Linked DNA regions of Oryctolagus cuniculus. The protein of the gene in region 1 purifies or fractionates together with the protein of each later gene. This does not show direct contact. Links are inferred from orthologs where the notes say so. Each region holds a gene or a part of one and is shown in the gene's direction. Other genes may lie near its edges.

Region 1 (3,500 bases):
TAGCCAGTTCCCTCCCTGCTGTCACTGAGTACTGCCGGGCTGGTAACGTACGGGGGTAGGGGAAGAAGAGTAAAGCAGTAAGGTGTGGGTTCTATGGTCTTATCAACCAAGGGCGAGGTGTGGATGACTCAGCCCCTTCCCCGTGTACAGCCAAGTGGATGTGCATCTGTTGTACTGATGGAAGAGAGGTTGCGGTCAGGAGAGCGACCCCCTTACTTACTTTCTTTCTTTCTTTCTCTCTCTCTCTCTGTCTCTCTGTCTCTCTTTCTCTCTGACAGAGTGGACAGTGAGAGAGAGAGACAGAGAGAAAGGTCTTCCTTTTCCATTGGTCCACCCTCCAATGGCCGCTATGGCCGGCGCACCGCGCTGATCCAAAGCCAGGAGCCAGGTGCTTCTCCTGGTGTCCCATGCGGGTGTAGGGCCCAAGCACTTGGGCCATCCTCCACTGCACTCACGGGCCACAGCAGAGAGCTAGACAGGAAGAGGGGCAACCGGGACAGAATCCGGTGCCCCGACTAGGACTAGAACCCGGTGTGCCGGCGCCGCAGGCAGAGGATTAGCCTAGTGAGCCATGGTGCCGGCCTCCCCTCACCTTCTTTAGTAGCCGTCCCCTCCTGCACTGCCATTTCAGTGGCAGCCCCAACGCTCTTTCAGAGTAACACAAATGTCAGAGCTGTTACTTCCTATACACTGCTTTGTTGTGTAGAAGAAGTTAATTTTTTTAAGATTTTATTTATTTGACAGGTAGAGTTACAGACAGTGAGAGAGAGAGACAGAGACAAAGGTCTTCCATCCATTGGTTCACTCCCCAAATGGCCGCAATGGCCAGAGCTATGCTGATCTGAAGCTAGGAGCCAGGTGCTTCTTCCTTGTCCCCCATGTGGGTGCAGGGGCCCAAGGACTTGGGCCATCTTTTTACTGCTTTCCCAGGCCATAGCAGAGAGCTGGACTGGAAGAGGAGCAACCGGGACTAGAACCGACGCTCATGTGGGATGCCGGCACCGCAGGCGGAGGATTAACCTAGCGCGCCACGGCAGTGGTTCCAGAAGTTATGTTTTTTGAATTGCTTTTGTGTCTTCCATTTGAAGACTGGTTGAAGTACATTTATTTGTAGTCAGTTAACTTAGTTGGTTAAAATCCAAGGCCTTGCCCACATGTAGTCAGTCTGTCTGCCCTCTCCTTATCTGGTGACCTCAAGGGGAGGGAGCACCTACCCGTGACTATTTCTACCCACAGATAAAGTTGTATGAATGCTGTGCTTGGTTATGCAGTTTCTACTATAATGTGTTCATTTAAACCTGACTTTTTCGTGTGTAGAGTTTCTTTCAACAAGTAATCTATGGCTTTTTTTGATTCTCCATTGTAACATTCAATCCCATGCCAAAAACAGCATTAAAATTTCTACACACATTGGCATACACTGTGTTCACCTTCTTAATTCTTTAGAAAGCTAGTGACAATGACAAAGATTAAAAGATGCTGTGGAATAAAGCAAACCTGGAGTTTATGGTCCACGCTGCTCCAAGAGCTCCTCCAGGAAGTGTCACTCTGGGGCCAACATAGTGGCCCTGAGGGTTAAGCCACTGCCTGCAATACTAGCATCCCATATGGGCATCAGTTTGAGTCCTGGCTGCCCTACTTCCAATCCGGCTCCCTGCTGATGTGCTGGGCAAGCAGTGGAGTCCAGCCTAGGTGTTTGGGTCTTTGCCACCCACATGGGAAACACGGAAGAGGCTCCTGGCTTTGGCCTGGCCTAGCCCCAGCCATTGTGGCCAATTGGGGATTAAACCAGCTGATGGAAGACCTCTCTCTCTCTCTCTCTCTCTCTCTCTCTCTCTCTCTCCCTCCCCCCCTCTCTCTCGCGCACGCTCTCTCTCTCTCTGTAACTTCCTTTCAAATAAATAAAAATAAGTCTTTTAAAGAAATCACTCCAAAGTAAGCCAACCACAGAGTTCACGTCTCCCTTGGTTTTCCTTTTCTCAAACAGTTTGTGTGGTTAATATTGAGGTGAGGTTGCCTGAATTATTCGGAATTCCCTAATTTTACCTCCATCACTGGTTCTTGGGTATTTAACCTTTTAAGGTTTTCCCATCATATATTTAAAACACAGGGAGTCCATTCAGGGGACAGACCTGTCTACTAGGGGACTCTTGTTTCAGCCACTGTCTGTTCTGCTGAGTTTTTCTGCTTTAAATAACAGAATACCAAGACAGCTCTGAGAACGCTCAGACATCGTTCCGTGATTGGAGGACTTTACTATTGGGATATTGCTAGCACTAATGTTTTATGTGGTAATATACTAACACATTATTGCATCATATGATATAATTATGGTATTTATTAATAACCACCAGTAGTATGTCTTTTCTCATTGGAGGCTCTTTGGGATGGGTAATTTTTTGCACTTTCACAATGAGGCTAAGCAGCAGTGTTCAAGGTTACTGTCTAGTAAGTGAGTTGGATCCAGGTGAGCCCAGCTCCAAAGCCTTGTGCTCCTAGTCAGCGTGTGGCACTCTTTGTTTCTTTACTATAATAACACATTTGTCTAATAATTTGTTTCAAAGGCAGCCTACAGAAGGTCGATCTCGTGATGGTGGCTTGCGTCTTGGAGAAATGGAACGTGACTGTTTAATCGGTTATGGAGCCAGCATGCTTTTGCTAGAGAGACTAATGATTTCAAGTGATGCCTTTGAGGTTGATGTCTGTGGCCAGTGTGGACTTCTGGGGTATTCTGGCTGGTAAGTAGATCCCATGTGTCTCTCCTACCACACCCCTTGCCTCTAAAATCACAGCTCAAGAATTGAACCTGGATAATCCATATTGTCCCATCTCTGCCTCTGATCACCAACATGCCCTTCCCCCTATGTGCCTGTAATTGAGGAAGCTGTAGGTTTTGTTTATCTGCATAACAATTTGCTTTTATATTTACTAGAATTTAAACTTCCAAGGAGTAGATACTTTTATCTTTTTTTTTTTTAATGTTATCTCAAATGCCTTTCATAACACTCTTTACCCAAAAAATTCCTAGCAGATGCATTGTGTAAAATGTCCTCATTTGTAACCTCTGACACAGAGAACCAGGTAGGTTGCCACGGGCCTTAAATAAATTGATGATAGAGCCAAAGGACCAGGGTCTGGTGCCATGACCCCTTGTCTGTTTTCTCTGCTGTGGCCAGCTACTTCACCCTTGCTCTGTACATTCCACGAGAGAAGCCATGTCTGTCTTAGTCATTCATTCAGCAAATATTTAATGAGTATCTCACTATCAAGTGTCACGTGGCTGTTCCAGGCCTCAGAAATGCTGGTACAGTAGTGACCAGGACAGGTAAATGGCTGCTCACGGGGAACTTGTCTTCTAGTTCATTCTGAGTGGTTACATTCTGTCTTGTTGACCCCTGCGTCTCCAGCCTGGGACCTGGTCCATGGTTCACAAAAAATAATTACAAAATAATATCTTGCATTTGTCAGATTGCCCATAAGTAATTGAAAGCCTCCTTTGG
Region 2 (2,782 bases), on another chromosome or scaffold:
CTGGAGGGGAAGATCAAGAGCTCAATCTGAGGCCTGTTAAGTATGAAGTGCTTAGTGAACACTGAAGTCGATTTTTGAAAAGGTTTTATTTGAGAGGTAGAGTTACAGAGAGGGAGAGACAGAGAGAGAGGCCTTCCATCCGTTGGTTCACTCCCCAGATGGACGTAACGTCTGGAGCTGCACCTTTCTGAAGCCAGGAGCCAGGAGTTTCCTCTAGATCTCTCTCATGGGTGCAGCAGCCCAAGCACTTGGGCCATCTTCCACTGCTTTCCCAGGCCATAGCAGAGAGCTGGATCAGAAGAGGAGCAGCCGGCACATGAACTGGCGCCCATATGGGATGCTGGTGCCACATGCAGAGGCTTAGCCTACTACACCACAGGGTGGGCCCCAGAAGTCGATTTTTTGAAGATAGAGTTAAAACTCCCAAGTCCGGTTCAGGAAAGGTCTGGGCTGGAAATACAAAGTGTGCGAAGTATTGGCATATAGATGAGTTCATCCTATTTTTTCCAGTGTAACAGCCTATCTTGTTACTATGTACTTTAATTCAGTACTTAGATTCATTTTCCCCTCAAACTGACTGCACCATTGACAGCATAATAAAATCCACATTTCTCATAATAAGAAGACCCTGCATGATCTAGCCCTTCCTACCTTTTTGGACTTTATCTTATACCACTTTCTTTCACTGTTCACTTAATTTCTAAGTTTCTGATCTCCTGGCTGTTCCTTAAAAAACTCTTTCCTGCCTCTGGGCCCTTTTGCTGCTTAACTCTTTCTCAGTCAGTTCCTTCTCATTCTTTGTATCAGTGAGGATTATTTCAGGAGGGACTTGATCCAAATTGGCTCACACAAAAGGAATTTACTATTTTATGTATCCCAGCAGTCCGGAGCCAGGGTGGTTTAGGCACTTCTAGATTCAGGGTGCCTAGGCCTTAGCATCTTCCTAGCGTCCTATCTCACACCCAACAGCTGACCCTTTGGTAAATCCTGTAGGCTCTACTTCCAAAATGCACCCTAAATCCAGTCATTTCTCAGCCACTGTGGTCTGATCCTCCATGGCTCACCTGGACTATTGCCATAGCCACCTCACTGGACTTCCAGCTTCCACACTACTCTCCTTATCCCTAGTCACTCTACACAGCATCCAAATGGATCCTCTGTGACCCAACTCAGTTCACCTCCCTCCTCTGCTCACAGCCCTCCCCTGGCATCCAGCTCACTTAGCAGAAAAGCCAGGCTCTTTAACATGGCCTTGTAGGTTTACACAGCCTGCCTCCCACTCCCTGCACCCACCCCCTTACCTCCCTGACCTCAGCTCTTCTAGTACCTCTCACTTACTCTTCTCCAGCCACAATGCCCTATTAGCTGTGACTCAAACATGCCAGGCACACTCCCACCTCAACACCTTTGTATTTGCTGCTACTTGTGTGTGGAACACCGTGCAGCCTTCATATAGCACTATTTGCTTCTTTACAGCTTCACTCAAATGCTTCTCAATGGAGCTGTCCCTAGGCACTGTATTAAAAATGGCAGCTCCCACTCCCATACTACTTTCCCTCCATCACTGCTTCCTTTTTTCATTATACTTAGAACCATCTGACATACCATATATTTTAGTCCATCATTTATTTGTCTCTAAGAATTTGAGCCCCGTGTAGGCAGGATTTTTGTATGTTGTGTTTGCTGCTATCTCCCCAGTGCCTAAAACTGGCATACATTAGACATTTGGTAATCCTTGGATCAGGTCCAGACTGTGGTCAGGCATCTCTGCACAGCAGATGGGTGGAAGTCATCCCAGATGTAGGTAGTTCTTGAAGTGATGAGGAAGGGTCATCTTCATAAGTGGGGCCCACTTTGCACATTCTCGTTTCTTTTCTCCAGGCTCAGCAACAGCCTCACCAAGGACTCCATGACTATCAAGGCCCATATCCACATGTTGCTAGAGGTGAGAGCAGCTCACTCCACTCCCAGCCTCTATGTCCAGATGTGGTTAGGGTGATGACCTAAAGAAGGGAGAGAGCCGACGAAGGAAAGGACCATCTTTCCTTCTAAACTGGATCCAAGGGCGGGGAGGTCAGAGCAAGCCTGAGGTGGGGCCTGGACCCGTCCCTTGTTAAATCCTTTCTGTCCTTTTTTTCAGGGGCTTAGAGAACTACAAGGCCTGCAGAATTTCCCAGAGAAGCCTCACCATTGACTACTTACCGCATCCTCCGACATTAAAGATCCTGAATGCCTTTGAGTCACATGGCCCTTCTTTTTCCCCCTAACTCCTGCGGGTTGCCAAGGCACCCTGTTTCCAGAGTCCAGCATTAATTGGAAGATCTAGTTTCTCTATGGATCCTTTAAAGCACCCTGGAAGTCCTGCCTCCGGCCTATTGCCTGGCAGCATTTGCTACTTGACTTTAGGCTCTGCCCTCTGTCACCATGGCAACCTCACACACACACACCCTTCCTTGCATTCCTTTTACTGGCTATCGCCCTTTGAATTGCCATGGAGAATGGACAGGTTCAGGGTGGAGGTTTGTTCCCATGGCAATCAGCCTTTCACTCCTAGCCCTAAGGTTTAACCCTTCTCCCAAATCCCAATCGTTCCTCAGGTACCATCAATTACACCCACGCCAGGCTCAGCCCAACCTTGGCCTCTGCTTCCAGTTTCCACCAATAGGCGCAGAGCCAAATTCTGCCCTCCCTGGTCCAGCCCCCCAGTCAGCACAGAGCCAGGTTCCGCCCCCTTAATAACTCTAGCCACAGCTTGACCCTGTCTTTTCTGTGAGCACTTAGT
Region 3 (4,133 bases), about 8.5 Mb from region 1:
CCCCACTGATCCAGCTCTCTACTATGGCCTGGGAAAAGCAGCAGCAGGTGGTACAAGTGCTTGGGCCCCTGCACCCATGTGGGAGACCCCGAAGAAGCTCCTGGCTCCTAGCCTTGGCCTGGCCCAGTGCTGGCTGTTGAGGCCATCTGAGGGAGTGAACCAGTGGATGGGAGACCTCTGCCTCTCCCTCTTTCTCTGTAATTCTCACTTTCAAATAAAAAAAACAAAATGAAAATCCAGTTATTCCCATATCCACCAATTTTATATTATTTTTATTTTTTGACAGGCAGAGTTAGCGAGAGAGAGAGACAGAGAGAAAGGTCTTCTTTTTTTCTGTTGGTTCACCCCCCAGATGGCCGCCATGGCCGGTGCTGTGCAGATCCTAAGCCAGGAGCCAGGTGCTTCCTCCTGGTATCCCACACGGGTGCAGGGCCCAAGCACCTGGGCCATCCTCCACTGCCTTCCCGGGCCACAGCAGAGAGCTGGCCTGGAAGAGGAGCAACCAGGCCTAGAACCCGGTACCCACATGGGATGCGGGCGCCGCAGGCGGAGGATTAACCAAGTGAGCCATGGCGCCGGCGCTTCCACCAACTCTTAGAGGCAGCACGGGTATAAGCTTAGAGGGGCTCATCTCTGGCACGTGGCAGCCGGTGGCCCTGGACAGCTTGCTGAGTTCTCTTAGCCCGCGTTAGTGTCCTGTCAGAGGGACAGGACAGGATCCTGGGGGGAACAGAACGGGCAAAGCTGGAGAGAGGTGCCAGGGCCAGATCGCACAGAGCCCAGTGAGCCGCCAGGAAGGAAGGTTTTGGACTTTATTCTCAGTTCAGCGGGAAGCTACAGAGGAGTGTGTGTGTGTGTGTGTGTGTGTGTGCGCGCGCGTGTGTATACTATATATATATGCACTGTTATATATTCTATATACATACACTATATAGAGACTATATATATAGTCCCAATTGATTATCACTTCAAATTGAGATGTAATCTGCCTACAATGAAATGCACGGAGTCTGATGAGAGCTGTCAGCTCTACGAAGAGCTAAAAGGGGGTCGAGAATATTTCCATCACCCAGGAAGGGTCCCTCCGTTCTACTTCCCTGTCAGGGCTCCCCGACTCCGGGCGGAAGGTCGGAAGCATTGCCGACTTGCGTTTTGCAAGGATCGTTCCGGATGCGGGGACCCGCAAGCAAGAGATGCCCCAGCCCGGGAGAGCGGCAGGGGGTTGCCTAGCAACGAGAGGCGCCGCCGGGTCTTCCCGGGGAGGCCCCGCCCCTCCCCGTGCGGCAGCCTGTAGAGAGCCCCGCCCCGCGTCTGGGGGCGGACAGAAGCTTCTTATTGGTCGGCTCTCCGGAAGCGACGGGATTCGGAATCTCGCGCACGGTGGTTAACTCCCGCAGCTGCGTGCCGTGCGCGGTGCGAGGCGGCGGCGCGTGGTGCGGGCGCGGGGCGGAGGGGCTCTCGTGCCGTGCGCTCCAGCGAGGGCGCTGCCCGCCGGGCCTCTGTTTCCCGTCGCTTCCGCAGCCGAGCATGGCCCTCGCCGGGCGCCGCAGACGCTACCGCGCAGCCCCGCTGTTGGCCTGAGGGGGGCCGGTCGGGCACGGGGCTCCCAGGACCCCAGGCCCCGGTGCGTGACCGCCCGTCCCTCTCGCAGAGCCGCCAGCGCAGGCCGGGATGTTCGTCCTGGTGGAGATGGTGGACACCGTGCGGATCCCCCCCTGGCAGTTTGAGAGGAAGCTCAACGACTCCATCGCCGAGGAGCTGAACAAGAAGCTGGCCAACAAGGTGCGGGGCGGAGCGTGCCTCACGGGGGCTGGCGGGGAGCGGGGGAGAGGCCGAGGACGGGCCTGAGAAGGGGGCTCGTGCCTGGGGCGTGCGCGCTCGCACAGCGCGGGTCCCTTCGTCTGCGGCGAGTTGCCGGCCCGCCGCAGGTGCGCCGCCGCTGGGGCGCGGACCAGCCGTCTGACGCGGGATGCAGGTGGCCCCGGCTTAGCGCGCGCCCGTCACGGCTCTGTTCCCTCTCTACCTCTGCCTGCCTGCTCCATGCCTGTCTGTTGATGGAGTGGATGAGTGGCGGAGCGGTGTCCCGACCAGCAGGCGGAGCGGGGGTCCCTTCGTTGGGCGTGACGAGTTGGGGTGCACGCTGCCAGGGACTGGTGCTCGCGAACCTGTGGCACGAGGGAGCCGCGTCCGCAGCGAGGGGGTCAGGCAGCTGTGGTGGGAGCCGGCGGCCAGGCTGAGCCCTGCTGGCCGGGAGGCGCTGACCAGAGGGTTTGTGGGTGGGAGAGAGGTGTGCAGGGCCCCGGCCCGGTGGGCGGAGCCGGGCGCCTGTCCTGGAGGCGCTGCGGCTTGGATGGGCGGGGGCGGGAGGTGGCGGCAGCCCGCGGTCACCGTGTGTCGCGGCGCAGGTGGTGTACAACGTGGGACTCTGCATCTGCCTCTTCGACATCACCAAGCTGGAGGACGCCTACGTGTTTCCAGGCGACGGCGCGTCGCACACCAAAGGTAGGCGTCTTCTCGGGGCTGGGGCTCCTGGCAGAGATGGCCGGGGTCCTGTCCCACCTGGGGACCCTGGAAGTGGGCAGCCCCCTCCCCCTCGGCCTGAGCGTCTGCCGGGGCGGGGGTGGATCGGCGACTCTCAAGGCCTCTCTGGGTCCGAGGCTGTGGTCCATGGCTGTGCCCCTCCTCCCGCCCACTGCCAAGCCCTGTCTGCCTGGTGCTCTGGCCACTCACTGCCCTGGGAGAGGGCAGGCCAGGAGCGTGGGGACGCCGGAGTGGCCCTCGCGGTTAGAAGAGAGAGGCAGGCCGGCGCCGCGGCTCACTAGGCTAATCCTCCGCCTAGCGGCGCCGGCACACCGGGTTCTAGTCCCGGTCGGGGCGCCGGATTCTGTCCCGGTTGCCCCTCTTCCAGGCCAGCCCTCTGCTGTGGCCAGGGAGTGCAGTGGAGGATGGCCCAGGTGCTTGGGCCCTGCACCCCATGGGAGACCAGGAAAAGTACCTGGCTCCTGGCTCCTGCCATCGGATCAGCGCGGTGCGCCGGCCGCAGCGCGCTGGCCGCGGCGGCCATTGGAGGGTGAACCAACGGCAAAGGAAGACCTTTCTCTCTGTCTCTCTCTCTCACTGTCCACTCTGCCTGTCAAAAAAAAAAAAAAAAAAAGAAGAGAGAGGCAGAGGGAACGGAAGAGCAGGCCGGGGGGGACCTCAGGGGCACAGGACGCAAAGCTTAGCACTGACCTTGCGAGCTTTGGTGCGCGCCCAGCGCAGGGGTGTCTGCATTCCGGCACGTGCCGGGAGGCTGCCAGGCGTCTGTCCCGGCATCCCGAGAGCTCACTGGTCCACACGGTGTTGCCGTGCGGTGCAGAGAGCACAACAGGCTGTCTGTATGAGTAGAAAAATCAGACCGTGGCATGGAAGCCGTCTTGAGGGCCCCTGGCCACAGAGGAGGCCACCAGGCCAAGCCTGGTGTGCACTGGACGGGGCCTGGCTGTCCAGGAGACAGGTGGTCACAGGCACGAGGGCCTCGAGGAGAAGTGAGGTCGCAGGGATCTCTGCTCGCTTGATTTCTGACACCTGGTGTAGGGTTTGCACCGCTGTTTTGACTTATGTGTGTATTTATTTATTTTGAAAAGCCGAGTTAAAGAGGGAGAGACAGAGCTTGTTCATTTGCTGGTTCTCTCCCTAAATGGCCACAACAGCTGGGACTGGGCCAGGAGCTTGGAGCTTCATCCAGGCCTCCCACATGGTGCAGGGGCCCAGGCACTTCATCCGGGAGCTGAATAGGAAGTGGAGCAGCCGGGACTCGAACTGGTGCCCACCTAGGTTGCAGACAGCTGCTTCATCCACGACACTACAACATCGGCCCCTCCCACTTCTATTTTTTATGTATTTTTATTTCATTTCTTTGAAAGGCAGAGTTAGATCTTTCATCCACTGATTCACTCCCCAGATGGCCACAACAGCAGGGGGCAGGCCAGCCGGAAGCCAGGAGCTTCATCCGGGTCTCCCACATGGCTGGGAGGGCACACTTTGAGCCATCTCCTGCTGCTTTTCCCAGGCCATTAGCTGGGAGCTGGATTGGAAGTGGAGCAGTGGGACTATGAACCGGTGCCCGTGAGGGGTGCTGGCACTGCAGCCTA
Region 4 (3,500 bases), on another chromosome or scaffold:
GAACTCATACTTCTGCCTGTATAGAATTGGGACAAGTATAGTATTTTAATCATCTGCTTGGTGATGGGTGTGTGATATGCTGTGGATATAAAAAAGAAAGAACACTCTGAAGTTGTCTACAACCTGCTAAACCATGTAGGATTTAGGACATTTCTCAGTTTTAGGATGTAGTCCCCAAATTGCTGAACTGGATTACTGGATTCTTTTATGATATTTAATACCCAGAGAAGGGTATAAGCCTGGACTGATAATAACTTACTTTTCTTTTGCAGGAAGGATGCCAATTCTGCACTGCTCAGTAACTATGAGGTAAGTGGCTTTGAAGTGGACTGTTGTATATGTTTTTCTCCCAGAAAGGTATCTCTTTACTTCTGGGGATTGTTGAATTAGATTTAGTTAGAAATTACTGGATTCATTTGGGTTTTCACTTTTTTTTTTTTTTTTTTTTTTTTTTTTTTGACAGGCAGAGTGGACAGTGAGAGAGAGACAGAGAGAAAGGTCTTCCTTTGCCGTTGGTTCACCCTCCAATGGCCACCGCGGCCGGCGCACCGCACTGATCCGATGGCAGGAGCCAGGAGCCAGGTGCTTTTCCTGGTCTTCCATGGAGTGCAGGGCCCAAGCACCTGGGCCATCCTCCACTGCACTCCCTGGCCACAGCAGAGAGCTGGCCTGGAAGAGGGGCAACCGGGACAGAATCCAGTGCCCCGACTGGGACTAGAACCCGGTGTGCCGGCGCCGCTAGGCGGAGGATTAGCCTAGTGAGCTGCGGCGCCGGCCGGGTTTTCACTTTTAAAACAGGATAGACGGCCCTGTCGGTTGGATCTTGAATTATTTGAGGCTTGATAAATCATACGTAGTATTTCTGGGAAGATGGGAAGACTTTAAATCAAGCAAACTTTCTAAGTCCTCAAAATTCTAGTAACCATTGGGGATGCCTTCTTGGGATGGAAGCCATCTATTTTAGCACTGTTTCTGTGTGCAAAAGTTTTCTAATAAAATGCTTATTTCTCTTCATAATTACCCATTTTACCTATGAAATGCTTTTTTATACATTATTATTTTGATCCTCAGTCCATAGGTGGTACCATCCTTGTTTTGAAAGTAAAGGTTTAGTTGAATCACCATTATGAATGATTAGAAGACTTAAAATTTAAGGGACTTACAGGGTAGGGTTGCTGGGGAAAGGGAGGAAAGAAAGAGGTTGATGAAGGAGGAGATGTGATAGTATTTTGTGTACCTATTTTGCACAGGGCCTATTTGGTACCAGCATCTGACAGGCCCAGTTTTCCATATGCCAGAGTCTAAACTCATAAAGAGTTAAAGGAGGTCTGAGTTTCCATTGTGTGATATTTAGAGAAGGTACTGGAATAAACACGATTGGCTGTATTCCTTCCAAAAGGTTCATCCTAAATGGTTGCTGCTTAAAACAGGAAGGAAATGTCTGTTGGTCAGCCCATTGGCTTTTAGGAACCTCTTTGTCCATTTTGAACTTTGCTAGGTGTTTGATCTTTTGTCCATTGGGGACACCATGCATTCACTGGGCCCCATGTATTTGTAAAAGGAACAGCAGGCAGGGATAGGAGTTGCATTGTATCTAATAATGGTCTGTGAGCCTGTATTTCCCTCCATTTTCTGGCAGAGTCTCTGAAACAGCAGAGATCCCTTCTCCCACCCCAGCATGGATACACATCTGTTTTTCTCTTGCTGGGAAATGTAGCATTTCGTCCTTTCTTTTTTGAAAACTATTAAATCACTTGCTTCATAATTTTTCTTTTCTGGAAAGAAATTATTATGCTAAATTTTCATATTAGAGGAACAAAACCCTTTTTAAAAATATTATATATTTAGTTTAGCAAAATTTATTTATTTTATACTCTTATCTAAATATAAAAATATTTATATATTTTTGAAATATCTGGTATGTTTTTTGAGATCAGAGATCAGTTAGATGGCATATACTGATAGGAAACATTTGAAATATTTTAATTAAAATAATTTGGATTATTTGATTTAGATAAAAGAGCATTTTTTAAATGTCTCATGCTTCTGGGATTCATATTTACTCCAATCCAAGAGTTGGGAGGCAGGTTGTAAGGAAGAAAGAGGTATTATACTTACCTAATTGTCTTTTTTTTTAAATGTACATGAAAAAAATTTTTTTTTTTTTTTTTTTTTAGATTTTATTTAGTTATTTGAGAGGTAGAGTTAGAGAGAGAAAGAGAGAGACAGAAAAATCTTCCATCCACTGGTTTGCTCTCCAAATGGCCACAATGGCTGGAGCTGGGCCAACCTGAAGACAGCAGCCTGGAGCTTCTTTTGGGTCTCCCATGTGGGTGCAGGGGTCCAAGCCCTTGGGCCATCTTCTGCTGCTTTCCCAGGCCATAAGGAGAGAGTTGGGTCAGAAGTGGAGCAGCTGGGACTCAAACAGGCACCCATATGGGATGCCCGGTGCTGCAGGCCGAGGCTTTGCCCACTATGCCACAGTGCCGTACCCCCTAATTATCTTCCAGTATCATGGACCTTGGAATAGAACGTTTCTCAAATGTATTTATAAAGTCTTTTGTATATCTCTTCCTAGGTGTTCCAGTTACTAACTGATCTGAAAGAGCGGCGTAAACAAAGTGGGAAGAATAAACAGAGTTCTGGGCAACAGAACTTGAATACTATCACCTATGAAGTAAGCCTGGGCTTCTGGAGGCCTCCCTAAGCCACCACTGAGCGCTGTTGGTTTACTCTGCTGATAACTGGCCACCCAATCAAGATCACCTCTTACCTCATGTGCGGAGTGTTACTCTAACCCAGTGTTTATTCTGTTTATATAAAAGTGGGGGTGATTTGGCCAACAGAAGTGGTTAGTTAGCCACAAAAGTGGAAGGAATAGTCTGACTGCCCTCACCTCTGAACCCCAGTTCCATATTTGGGAATCCTCATCCTGAGGCTTCTGTAATTTACTGCATGACTCACAGATCTGACTGAAAGCTATTATAGTCATGACTGTTGTACATGCATCACAGGGAAAGGATACAGTTGTTGTTGCTTTTAAAGATTGATTTATTTGCAAGGCAAAGCAACCTAGACAGTTGAAGAGAGAGACACAGAGATCTTCCCTCTGCTAGTCTCCTCATCAAATGGCCACAGCGGCCGTGGTTGGGCTAGGCTGAAGGCAGGAGCCTGGAGCTCCATCTGGGTCTTCCACTGCTTTTCCAGGTACATTAGCAGAGAGGTGGATTGGAAGAGAACAGCCGGGACTGATACCATTGCTCGTATGGAATGTCAGTGTTGCAGGTTGCAGCTTAACCTGCTACCTGATGTTGATTTTTAAATTATTTACTTATTCATTTCTTTGAGAGGTAGAGACAGAGCTTTCATCTGCTGTTTCACTTCTCAAATGCCGGCAATGGCTTGGCCCAGGTTGAAGCCAGGAGCTGGGAACTCAGTCCAGGTTTCCTGCTTGGGTGACTGGGACCCACCTACTTGAACCATCACTTGCTGCCTCCCAG
Region 5 (2,755 bases), on another chromosome or scaffold:
CGCACGCGGAATCCCAGGAATGCCGCCTTGGCCAGGGCCCCCGCAGGGGAGGGCGGCTCACTCCCCCACTCCCACAGTAAACAGCGGCGCCCAGTGGGAGCAGGGGCGGGGCAGGCCCCTGACCCCTCCCCCAGGAAGGCCCCACTCACGCGCTGGGCGCCCACCGGGCTGGCCTCCCGGACCCGGGCTCCCTCTCCTCCACAGCCGCGGCCGCCGAGCCTGGGTCTGACCCCAGGCCACGGTGACTCACGGCCCCATCCTGCCCCTCTGGCCAGGGCAGGATGTGCGTCCACTCAGCCTGGGGGAGGGAGGCAGAGAAGGGAAGTGGCCAGGGCTCGTGGCTCCGCACGTGGCCGAGAGGGCACTAACCCTGGCAGGGCAGTGGCTCTGGGCAGCCCCACTCCGGACCTGAGACCCTTCGTCCCCGTCCCTGTCCAGCGTCTGCCCTGAGCGGGCACTCAGCAGATGCCGGGGTCCCGCGTGAGGACCCCGCCCCGGCCACACATCCAAGGCCAGCAAACCTGGCCAGAGCCCCGCGGGGGCCACGGGCAACACCCCCACAGCCCTGCGGCTCCCCAGCCCGCCTGGGGCAGCCGGGGCACCAGGCTCAGCCCGGTCCACCCGGGAGGCAGCAGCCCCGCCCGTGGAGCCCCTGAAGGGGACGCACAGCTGGGGCTGCCCCTACGCGGGGGCCCTGGCCTTCGAGGGTCAGCTCAAAGGGGCTGACCACACGCCCAGCGCCAGGCCCGGGAAAGAGCGAACAAGACGCCGACAGACTGCCGTCGGGGCTCCCAGCAACTCCCCGCGGGGACCCGAGCCTCGCGCAGGGCTCAAGGGACAGCGACCGGGTCCAGGCCGGGCCGGGCCGGGAGGCGGGAAGGTCCGTCCGAGGCCTCCCGCCCCGGGGCCAGACCCTCTCGCCGGGCCCCTCGCCCGGCCCCACTTGTTGCTGCGACCGGCCTGGGGCTCCGCACTGGAGGTGGCGCTCGCGCGCCGCGGCTGATGTCCGCGTCCGGGTCCAGCCGGCGCCCGCGTAGTACCTGGGCCGCCGCCTCCCGCCGCCGCACCGCGTCGTCCGCTCCCGCCGCGCAGCTGTCAGTCAAGCGGACACGAGAAACGCGAACCGGCGCCGCCGAGCCCTTTTGGCCGAGCCCAGTCGCCGTAGCGCGGCACGTACCAAACCGCCGGACGGGGGGCGCCGCCGGACGCGGCCTCCAATCGGCGCCGAGGAACCCCGCGCCAGTGGGCGCGCCCGGGGCGGGGCCTGCAGCGCCGCGGACGGGCCCGGCAGTGCGCGGGGCTGCCGCGGAGTGCGCGCCGCCATGATCATCCCGGTGCGCTGTTTCACGTGCGGCAAGATCGTCGGCAACAAGTGGGAGGCCTACCTGGGGCTGCTGCAGGCGGAGTACACCGAGGGGTGAGGCGCCGGGCGCGTGGGGCCCGGGGGCGGGGCGGGGCGGGGACCGGGCCCACCCGCGCCTCCTGTCCCGCGCCGCGGGCTGACGCGGGGCTGCGGCGGGGCGGAGGGGCAGGGGCTGCTTTGCCGAGGCCCCTCGGTCGCGCCTTCTCACTCCCAAGCCGCCTCCTCCGCCCCCCGGAGCCAGCGCTGCAGGAGTTTTCTGGAAGCGTCTCGTTGGTTTCCGGAAGTAGAAGGGTGGCTCCCTGAGAGTGGGGGTCCCGCGGGGCTGCGGTCGTGGTCGGGAGTCCCGGCCCCCGGGGGAGGGGGCGCCGGGGCTGCCCTGGCCACCGTGAGCCCAGCCTGGGAGAGGGCGGGCCGGGGCTGGGCCGGGAGGCTGGAGCCTCTGGGTGGGGAAGGGGTGGCCCTGGGTGGCTCCTCCCCGGTGCATCCTGGGGGGACCTGTCCACCTGGCCTGGAGCAGGGGCGAGCCCGGCTGTCTGGTCGCAGGGATGCTCCGGCCGCTGGGCCCGGGCTGGGCCGGGAGGCCGGAGCCCCCGGGTGGGAAGGGGCGCGCTGGGGGCGAGCCCGGCGCAGGCCGCCTCACTGCTGTCTGGTCGCAGGGACGCCCTGGACGCCCTGGGGCTGAAGCGCTACTGCTGCCGCCGAATGCTGCTGGCCCACGTGGACCTCATCGAGAAACTGCTCAACTACGCGCCCCTGGAGAAGTAGCGCCGCCCCGCCATGGCCCGCGGCGTCCTGCCCTGCGTCCTCGCGGCCGGGCTGTCAGACGCCGGGAGCAGAGGCGGGCCGCGCGCACGCATGTCGCCAGCCGCCCAGTAAAGTCCTTGCACAAACACCACTGGTCCCCTCCTTGGCCTCGCTCCGCCCCCCCCCCCCCAGTCCACCTGGCCCAGCTGTCTCGGGGTCCTGGTTCCTGCTCCCTGGTCCCCGCCCACCCAGCGTGGCTGCTCGTCCGAGCCTGCACTGCCTGCTGCGGTCAGCGGCTGCCCTTGCCTGGGTCCCCACCCTGTGGCCCTGTCGGGGTCGCACCAGCCCTGAGCGCCCTCAGGCTCCCGGGGGCCCTTCCCGGGCTGTCCCTGCGGGCCCAGGCTGAGGGCCAGGGAGCAGCTACTCCCAGCAACCCACACGGGGCCGAGCCCGCGGTCAGCTGGGGACGGGGACCAGGGCAGAGCAGGGCCATGGTGGCCGAGCCACTGCTGTCCCCAGGGTGTTGGCCGCATCGCAGAGCTGTCCCCGGCTCCTGGCAGGACCTGCAGGCCCCTCGTCTGCTCACTGCCTGTGCCACAGTGACCACAGTGGGCCCAGGGCCAGCTGGAGACGCCAGCACCCCTACGC
Region 6 (3,973 bases), on another chromosome or scaffold:
CACGACGCGCACTGCCCGGGACGCGTCTACACCACCAAGAGCCTGGGAACCCGAGCGCCTGGCGAGGAACCCCGGGTCGGGGATGGGGGGGCTCCCCTGCAACACGCGCAGGCAACTGCCCGGGGAGGTGGGGCCGGCTCCTACGCGGTGCTCGGAGCCGGGCCCGGGCAGGGGCAGGGGCGGCGGCAGTGGGCCCGGCTCGTACACCGTAACGCTCCCGCCGCGGCCGCGCGGGTCTGCGACCCCCATGCCCTCCCTCCGCCCGCGGGGGCTCATTACCATCTTGCAGGATGAGCGTGGGCTGCACCGCCTGCACGCGGAACTGCCTGGCCCGCCAGCCGGGGCTGGGCGCCCGCACCACCTCGCTGTCGGAGAGCCAGGTCACCGTCTCAAAGTTGTCCCCGCGAGCCAGCGCCTCGGCCTCGGCGTGGTGCACCGCCACCCGGTCGAACTGGTAGAGGCCGCCCGAGTGGTCGAAGTGCACGTGGGTGGCCACGGCCAGCAGCGGCCGGCCGGCCGCCGCCGCCTCCTCCTCCTCCCTGGCGCTGCGGTCCTGCAGGAGGCCGGAGGAGTACAGGTACTCGGGCAGGCTGCGCAGCCCCAGGCCCGTGTCGATCACCACGTCCTGCTCGGAGCCGCGCACCAGCCAGATGTTGGCGCGGTTGCCCGACTCATAGAAGCGCTCTTGGATCCAGAAGACGCCATCGCCCAGAGACTTGTGCGCGAACCACTCGAGCGCAGACATGCTGGGCGGGCGTGTGGGCGCGCGGGCCTCCGCAGCCTGAGAGCGCGGGGGACGTGGGGCGGAGACGGAGGCGGCGCAGAGCCGGCGGCGGGAGGCGCGGCCGGACGCCGCTGGACCGCGCTGCCCGCCGCAGAGCGCGGGAGCCGCTTGGCACCGCGGCGCCTCCAGGCGGGGGCCACTGCGGCACGCCGGAGACACGGCGGCGACACCGTCCCCGCCCCGGGGGTGTGCGTGTGGGGGGGTGCGGGGCTGACTGCAGAGGCCGGGTGGGGCGCGGCTAGGGGAGCACCAGGCCCACCCAGCCCCGGGGCCCTCCGCGATGCGCGCTCCCGGACGGCGGGGAGCGAGTCGGGCCGAGCCGGTTGGACGGCGGCTACGGCGCCTGCCAAGGGCTAAAAAGCTCCCGGCCCCGGGGGTGGGGCTTAGCGGGGGCGAGGGGGCGGGCCCGGCTCGGGGCGCTGGGAGCGCGGCGCCGCGGCCGCGTGGAGAGCGGTGCGCGCTTTTGGAACCGGCGGCCGCCGAGCGCTGGAGTCCGGCGCCTGGAGCCTCTGCCTGGCCGGCCGGTCAGTACTCCAACTGCAGTTTTTGCCCAAGCCCGGAGCCTGGAGCGAGCAGGTACCCGAGGAGGCAGTGGAGGGCTTGGGAGGGCGCACAGGGGAGATGGAGGGGTGCGTGGACAAGTCGGGGAGACCCGGCACCTTGCCTCCGGAGTGAGGGGCGGGGGAGGGGGCCTTGCCTCCGCCGCTCCCGCTCGCTTAGAATGTTTTAAAAATCCTCGTTTGCAGCTCCTGCCCGGTCTGCACTTCCTGGCCGCTGGGAGTTTGAAGGGGGGGATTTATGCACTTACTGATGGTGGGTTGGCCGGAGCTGGTGGCTCCGGGACTGACTCGGGCGCTGGGCAGTGCCGCAGGCTCCCCAGGTTCCGTGCCTCGGACCCCGCAGGTGGGGCGGCGCTGCTGACACCGCGCCGCTTCTTTCCGGCTCTTTAAAAATTCCGTGTTCTCCCCCCCACCCCCCCACCCCCCGCCGCCGGTTTTTGTTATCCTGCTCTTGGGTGAGAGCAAAGAAAGTTTGTAGAGGGCTCCACTGAGTAAAAGGCGGGGCACCTAGGATAATGACTGGGTGTGGCCCCGCCAGCCCTGGGAGTGGTCCCTGGCCCCACTCCACCCCTGGCCGCCGAGAGAGCATCTCCTGTCTAGCCAGGACAGATTGTAGAGAGACCCAGGAGACAGCAGGATGAAAGCCCACGAGGGTCCTTTCGGGGGCAAGTGCTCCCAAGCCCTCCTGGAGGTGCTGGTGGACCCACGCCCCTCCCCCCGCACTCGTGGAGTGCGCAGCTGGATAGAGGTTGACCACTCAGCTGGGGGCTGGCCTTACACCCAAGTCCTTGAGCTGTGTGAGGAGGAAAGTTGGAGTATCTGGGCCCAGATGCTGGTGATGGAAGGCACGGCCTGTGGACCCCACCCCAGGAGGGGAGAAGTAAATGCTGCACAGTTGGAAGGGGCTGATGGGAGTGGCGCTGCAGCTGGCCTTGGAAGGTGCTGGTAGGAGCTTAGCAGCCCTGCTCTGTGCCCTCTGGGGCTTTTCCTCCATGCAGGGGCGAAGCTGTAGGGGTGAAATGCAGCAGCACCCTTAGGTAGGAGCTCAGCAGCAATTCACCCCGGAACCACGGGACTTGGTTAGGGATGGCATTTGAGTCTCCAAGGGAGCTTCAGCTTGCTGGTCCCTGTGCCTGGATCCCCAGCTGGCCCTCCCTGGACGGCCTTTCCTCCTCCGGGCAGCTTTTCCCTCCCTTGTGTCCGGTGTGTGCTCCGATATTTCTGAATAAGAGAAGACTTTTGCAGCTACCCGTTGTGCAGTAGCACCCGTGTTTTCTGTTTTATTATTTTTTTCATATCACCTGTCACTCCCTGACATTTTTTTTTTTTTTTGACAGGCAGAGTGGACAGTAACAGAGAGAGACAGAGAGAAAGGTCTTCCCTCCGTTGGTTCACCCCCCAATGGCCGCTGGGGCCGGCGCACCGCGCTGATCTGAAGCCAGGAGCCAGGTGCTTCCCCTGGTCTCCCATGCGGGTGCAGGGCCCAAGGACTTGGGCCATCCTCCACTGCACTCCCGGGCCATAGCAGAGAGCTGGACTGGAAGAGGGGCAACTGGGACAGAATCCGGTGCTCCGACCGGGACTAGAACCCGGTGTGCCGGCGCCGCAAGGCGGAGGATTAGCCTATTGTGCTGCGGCGCCGGCAATCCCTGACATTTCTTATAAAATCATATTTTGTCCATATCCCATCTTAGACTATGCACGCCATGAGAACAGGGATCTTGCTTTGTTCACAGCTGAATTCCTACTCCATAAATGAAGGCCAGGTACAGAGGGTACTTTTTAATAAATACCTGATGGGTGGCTCACTGGGGCGCCCCCTGGGAGACCAACAAGTCCTGACAGTTACACCATGATGATTAAAAGGACCACAGGAGCCGGGTTGTACTTGGGAACCAGGAAGAAGGGAGTGGCTTGCCACCCAGTAGGGTGGTGGAAATGGTCCCAGAGAAGCATCAGGTGTATGGCTCAGAAGATGCTAGGGTGTGCTCAGGCCGATGTGGCAGGAGGGACCCTGCAAGCCGGAGCAACCCCGCGTGCAAGAGTGAGGATGCTTTGCTGAGGGGCAGAGCTGGCCTCGGAAGCGCCACTGGCTGAGGAGGGTGACGGGTAGCTGCAGAGGAACTACCAAGGGGCAGTGGACTGTAGAGGTGTATTTGTTCCATTTTATTTCTTGTCATTTCATTTGTTCTGCTTTGGAGGTCCACATGGGAGGTGCCGAGAGTCTGAGCAAAAGCAGAGTTGGAGGCCGGGGAGTAGGGGCGAGAGAACACGGAGCTGGTGGGCTTCTGCTGTCGGGTGAGGGGATCGAAGGAGACCTCCAGATGGGGTGACGATCAGGCTCCTACGGGGGCACATTCTGGGCCCTTCATCAGGAGAGAGCTGTGACCTGGCTCTCACTGCCTCCCCCTGCATCAGCGTCTGCTTCCGTCCCTGTGTCTCTACGTCTGTCTGGTTAGTTTGAGCGAGGGCCCGAGTCATGCTGCTGGGATGATGGGCCTGGGAGGGATTTCGGAGATGAGCTCAGCTCTGCCAGAGGTCGCCTTGCACCTGGTGAGAGTGGACTTCTGCATTGCAGCTCTTGGATGGTTCAGCTCCACCCGTCTGCAGCCCTCCTGGGGGTAGTGGC
Region 7 (4,052 bases), on another chromosome or scaffold:
CATCTCTCTCTCTCCTTCTCTCTCTGTATTAACTCTTTCAAATAAATAAATGTCTTAAAAAAAAAAAAAGAAAGAAAGAAATGTACATCTTTCTGCTTGTTATCCGAAGTGGAAATCTCTCCCAGGGGAATAATTCAAAAGAAGAAAAAAGTTTAACACACCATATGTTCACTATGTATGTTGCTTAAAAAAAAAAAAAATCCAAATGTCCAAACAGGGAAACAGGTAAATCAAGATCCAGTCCCTGGGCTGGCATTCTGGCCCAGTGGGTAAAGGCGCTGCCTGCAGTGGGCGCCAGTTCAAGTCCCAGCTGCTCCACTTGTGATCCAGCTCCCTGCTAATGTGCCTGGGAAAGTGGTAGAAGATGGCCCAAATCCTTGGGCCCCTGCACCCACGTGGGAGATCCCAGCTTTGTGGCCAATTGGCAAGTGAACCAGCGGATGGAAGATTTCTCTAACTCTGCCTTACAAAAAAAAAAAAAAAAAAAAAAAAAAAAAAAAAAAAAAATTCCAGGCTGCTGCCTGTGATACCAGCATCCCACGAGGCCCAGGCTCCTTGCTTCTGCCTGGCCCAGCCCAGGGTGTTACAGTCATTTGGGATGGGAACCGAAGCCAGGAGCCGTAGGCAGGGCTCCCACGTGGGCGCAGGACCCCAGAACTCCGGCCATCCCCGAAGGACACTTTTCCCGTCAAATCACAAGGGCCAGAGTCACGACAGAAGCTGATCGGATCCGTCCCTCCCGCGGCAGAGCAGACTCGGTTTCCGTCTTCTCTCCAGGACCCGGGCGACCCTGAGCCCAGAACGGGGGACGGGGCAGCCGCTCCGGAGACGCCCCTGAGCCCACCCCGGACGCCCCGCCGCTGCCCCGCGGCAGTGACCGCCCCAAGGTCACCACACAGCGCCCGCAGCCGGGGCTGCCCGGGGCTGCAGCCGGGCCCCGCACTCCACCCCGACGCGCGACCCCACTGCTCCGAGCGGCTAAGTCGCGGCGAATTCCGCCCCCGTCCCCACTGCCCCGTGGGGTGGGGGTCGCCAAGGCGCTGCCTGGAGCTCGGCGCCCCCACCCCTGGCCCGAGGCCACGACCCACAAACGCCGCCCCGTAACGTAGCCCGGACCGGCCCCCCTCACCCCAGCTTTTTCGCCCTCTCAACCCAGCTTTTCCCGACTCCGGGAAGAACCGGGAAGAGAAGGCGGAGGGCAGCGAGACGCCGCCTCATAAATACTGTGGCCTAGCCCCGCCCCCAATCGTCACTTCCGCCCCGCGGCAAGATGGCGGCGCCCAGGCGCTGCCACGCAGACTTCCGCCCGGCGCGGAGACTAGGGGTCGGCGGCGAGTGGCGTCGGCTGTGAAGTGGGGACGCGCGGTTGCGGAGCCCCAGCGGCGTGTGCGTTCCTGCCTCGGGCCTGGCGGGGGGCTGGGAGGGCAGGTTAGAGCTAAGGGCTCCGGCCGGGGTGGTCCGGGGCGCCTCGCCACGTGGGAGGGGGAGGAGCCGAGACGCAGCCCGAGGGACGCGTCGGGGGCGGGTTGCAGGGGGAGCGGCCCGCCACGTGAGTGCGGTTCCGCCCCGGGTTCGCGGGTCCGTCTCCGCCGGTGACCGGGCGCCCGTTCTCTCTCTCAGGCAGCATGTCGGAAGGAAGCGCCGCGGGCGAGCCCGGCGCTCCGGGCACCCCCCGGCCCCTGCTCTCAGGGGCCCGGGGGCTCATCGGGCGGCGGCCTGCGCCCCCTCCCACGCCGGGCCGCCTTCCCTCCATCCGCTCCAGGGACCTCACTCTCGGGGGAGTCAAGAAGGTACCCGCCCGGCGCGTTTCTCAGGACACTCAGCTGTTTGGCACTCCAGGCTCCCAGATTCAGCAGATGCCCCTGTGTGGCTTGCTGTGTGCTGGGCGTGGTGTTGGGGCTCAGTCAAGTCTGGGTGCTGGCCACGAGCTGTTGAGGTGGTTTTCAGAGGATCGCGCCTGGTTCCAGACGTTCCAAAGAGCAGGGTTTACTTTCATTGTGCGTGCGTGTGTGTTGTAGAAAATGCTCTGTGTATTTGAAAGAGTGCTGGCATGCACCTGCTGGCTCACTCCCCAAATGGCCCCGATGGTCCGGACTGTTCCAGGCTGAAGTCAGGAGCCAGGAACTGCGTCTGGCCATCTTCTGGCTTCCCAGGTGCGTCAGAGGGAGCTGGATGGGAAGTGGAGCAGCCAGGACCCGAGCTGGCGCCCCAGTGTGATGCTGGCATTCCAGGCAGAGGCTTAACCCACTGCACCACAACACTGACCCGCTGACCCCTTAGTGTTTGTTTGGAGCCCCCTTTAAGAACCCTAAGATAGCCAGACAAGCACAAACGCCGCTGTCAGTTTTGAGAGGGTCCCAGAATCCTCTGGTAGATTCTGGGCATGGCATTGGGGCCCGGTGCCCTTTTCCACGTGACTGTGGCTGTGAGGAGCTCTCAGAGGGTTGGGGGTGACAGGGAATGAGACAGAGCAGACAGCAGCCAGTTTTGAAAGATTTACCTGTGTCTCGGGCCAGTCTGGTGCCAGTCTAACCATGTCCTCTGTGAGTGCTGGCAGATCTGTGTTCCCTGCCTGGGCCTTGAGCGAGAGCTGTGTGCCTGTGGTACTGATTGGCCCCCGTAGCAGACTGGAGATGAGAGACATCAGACAGGTTTCTTTGCATTTGGAGGTGCTGGTGGGGCTCTCAGAGGGCAGAAGCTGCTAGTTAGGATGGTGTCGGGTTCCCTGCTGCCCGTGTGACTGTGCTGCCGCCGTGGCAGGATGGCTCTCCTCGCCAGGCAGCTGTGTGTCTGTGTGAAGGTGTGATGACAGCGCAGTGTGTGCAGAGGGCCTCAGGGTGGGCTTGGTCCCCAGGAGATGCCCTTTGGGGGGTCAGAACGGATCAAGTCAGTGACTCTTGCATTTTGCTTTCAGAAAACTTTCACCCCAAATATCATCAGCCGGAAGATCAAGGAAGAGTAAGTAGCCTGAATACTTGCCCCTTGTTTCTTTGCACAGGCTGGGGCTGTGGGGGAAGTAACTAGCTTATGGCTCAGAAGTGTAAAAATTTGTGTGTCCATTCTTTGCACTGGTGATTTTTTTTTTTTTAAGATTCATTTATTTTACTTGAAAGAGTTACACAGAGAGAGGAGAGGCAGAGAGAGAGAGAGAGGTCTTCCATCCGATGGTTCACTCCCCAGTTTGGCTGCAACGGCCGGAACTGCGCTGATCCGTGCCAGGAGCCAGGAGCTTCTTCCAGGTCTCCCACACAGGTGCAAGCACCCAAGGACTTGGGCCATCCTCCACTGCCATTCCAGGCCATAGCAGAGAGCTGGATGGGAAGTGGAGCAGCTGGGGCTAGAACTGGTGCCCATAAGGGATGCTGGCACTTCAGGCCAGGTGTTAACCCGCTGTGCCACAGCACCGGCCTTGCACTGGTGATTGTTAACCCTGGCTTGCAAATGATTTTTTTTTTTAAAGATTGATTTATTTGAAAGGCAGAGTTACAGAGAGGGGGGTGGGGGTGGGTCTTCCATCCGCTAGTTCATTTCCCTCTAAATGGCCTCAGTGGCCAGTGTTGGGTCGGGCGGAAGCCAAGAGCTTCTTCCGGGTCTCCCATGTGGGTACAGGGACGCAAGTACCTGGGCCATCTTCTACTGCTTTCCCAACAATAGCAGGGAGCTGGATTGGAAGAGGAGCAGCTGGGACTCAAACTGGCGCCCATGTAGGATGCCAGGTGATTCTTAAAGTGCAGGCCTTCAAAAAATACAGATCCCCAATGCTGCATCTCTAGAAATTGTGATTGGACTAGTTTGCAGTGAAACAGAGTGATGCTATCTTGCAGCCAGAGTTGAAAGGCAACAGTTTAAATTTGGGGTGAGGAGTGTCCGGCTTGCAGGACATCTGTGGCCCACGAAATCTGGTGTGACCCTGCCAAGGCAGCCGTGGGCAGAACTCCCAATTCAGTTAACTCTCCGGGCAGCTAATGTAAGTTGATGACTGTGTATGGCCTGAGAATGATGTTGTAACTATCAGAATAGCCCGTGGCAGGAAGGAGGTCAGACAGATGTGA

What was found.
Region 2: the proteins of POLR3B (region 1) and UXT purify together in Homo sapiens (affinity purification with mass spectrometry; 3 studies listed by BioGRID and IntAct, counting the BioPlex papers as one, with this or other methods). This does not show direct contact. The link is inferred for Oryctolagus cuniculus from reciprocal best matches to the Homo sapiens genes POLR3B and UXT.
Region 3: the proteins of POLR3B (region 1) and POLR3H purify together in Homo sapiens (affinity purification with mass spectrometry; 8 studies listed by BioGRID and IntAct, with this or other methods). This does not show direct contact. The link is inferred for Oryctolagus cuniculus from reciprocal best matches to the Homo sapiens genes POLR3B and POLR3H.
Region 4: the proteins of POLR3B (region 1) and CRCP purify together in Homo sapiens (affinity purification with mass spectrometry; 5 studies listed by BioGRID and IntAct, with this or other methods). This does not show direct contact. The link is inferred for Oryctolagus cuniculus from reciprocal best matches to the Homo sapiens genes POLR3B and CRCP.
Region 5: the proteins of POLR3B (region 1) and POLR2L purify together in Homo sapiens (affinity purification with mass spectrometry; 5 studies listed by BioGRID and IntAct, with this or other methods). This does not show direct contact. The link is inferred for Oryctolagus cuniculus from reciprocal best matches to the Homo sapiens genes POLR3B and POLR2L.
Region 6: the proteins of POLR3B (region 1) and POLR3G fractionate together in Homo sapiens (co-fractionation; 4 studies listed by BioGRID and IntAct, with this or other methods). This does not show direct contact. The link is inferred for Oryctolagus cuniculus from reciprocal best matches to the Homo sapiens genes POLR3B and POLR3G.
Region 7: the proteins of POLR3B (region 1) and POLR3D purify together in Homo sapiens (affinity purification with mass spectrometry; 8 studies listed by BioGRID and IntAct, counting the BioPlex papers as one, with this or other methods). This does not show direct contact. The link is inferred for Oryctolagus cuniculus from reciprocal best matches to the Homo sapiens genes POLR3B and POLR3D.

The regions. Positions count from the first base shown.
Region 1 is NC_091442.1:109,083,798-109,087,297, forward strand, and holds part of POLR3B (DNA-directed RNA polymerase III subunit RPC2), read left to right. Parts: exon of another isoform or gene 1-2,564; coding exon 2,565-2,738; intron 2,739-3,500. UniProt on the Homo sapiens protein: Catalytic core component of RNA polymerase III (Pol III), a DNA-dependent RNA polymerase which synthesizes small non-coding RNAs using the four ribonucleoside triphosphates as substrates.
Region 2 is NC_091453.1:33,158,954-33,161,735, reverse strand, and holds the end of UXT (protein UXT), read left to right. Parts: intron 1-1,881; coding exon of another isoform or gene 1,882-1,945; intron 1,946-2,140; coding exon 2,141-2,267; 3' UTR 2,268-2,282; downstream 2,283-2,782. UniProt on the Homo sapiens protein: Involved in gene transcription regulation. Acts in concert with the corepressor URI1 to regulate androgen receptor AR-mediated transcription. Together with URI1, associates with chromatin to the NKX3-1 promoter region.
Region 3 is NC_091442.1:117,537,247-117,541,379, reverse strand, and holds the start of POLR3H (DNA-directed RNA polymerase III subunit RPC8), read left to right. Parts: upstream 1-1,333; 5' UTR 1,334-1,413; exon of another isoform or gene 1,414-1,433; intron 1,434-1,651; 5' UTR 1,652-1,671; coding exon 1,672-1,782; intron 1,783-2,405; coding exon 2,406-2,502; intron 2,503-4,133.
Region 4 is NC_091450.1:66,207,975-66,211,474, forward strand, and holds part of CRCP (DNA-directed RNA polymerase III subunit RPC9), read left to right. Parts: intron 1-272; coding exon 273-309; intron 310-2,578; coding exon 2,579-2,677; intron 2,678-3,500. UniProt on the Homo sapiens protein: DNA-dependent RNA polymerase catalyzes the transcription of DNA into RNA using the four ribonucleoside triphosphates as substrates.
Region 5 is NC_091432.1:353,577-356,331, reverse strand, and holds POLR2L (DNA-directed RNA polymerases I, II, and III subunit RPABC5), read left to right. Parts: upstream 1-1,252; 5' UTR 1,253-1,322; coding exon 1,323-1,417; intron 1,418-2,019; coding exon 2,020-2,128; 3' UTR 2,129-2,255; downstream 2,256-2,755. UniProt on the Homo sapiens protein: DNA-dependent RNA polymerase catalyzes the transcription of DNA into RNA using the four ribonucleoside triphosphates as substrates.
Region 6 is NC_091445.1:13,194,646-13,198,618, forward strand, and holds the start of POLR3G (DNA-directed RNA polymerase III subunit RPC7), read left to right. Parts: upstream 1-1,173; 5' UTR 1,174-1,360; intron 1,361-1,820; exon of another isoform or gene 1,821-2,041; intron 2,042-3,973. Other genes in the region: acyl-coenzyme A thioesterase MBLAC2, read right to left, coding at 280-745. UniProt on the Homo sapiens protein: DNA-dependent RNA polymerase catalyzes the transcription of DNA into RNA using the four ribonucleoside triphosphates as substrates.
Region 7 is NC_091439.1:1,079,462-1,083,513, reverse strand, and holds the start of POLR3D (DNA-directed RNA polymerase III subunit RPC4), read left to right. Parts: upstream 1-1,252; 5' UTR 1,253-1,386; exon of another isoform or gene 1,387-1,428; intron 1,429-1,620; 5' UTR 1,621-1,625; coding exon 1,626-1,790; intron 1,791-2,914; coding exon 2,915-2,958; intron 2,959-4,052. UniProt on the Homo sapiens protein: DNA-dependent RNA polymerase catalyzes the transcription of DNA into RNA using the four ribonucleoside triphosphates as substrates.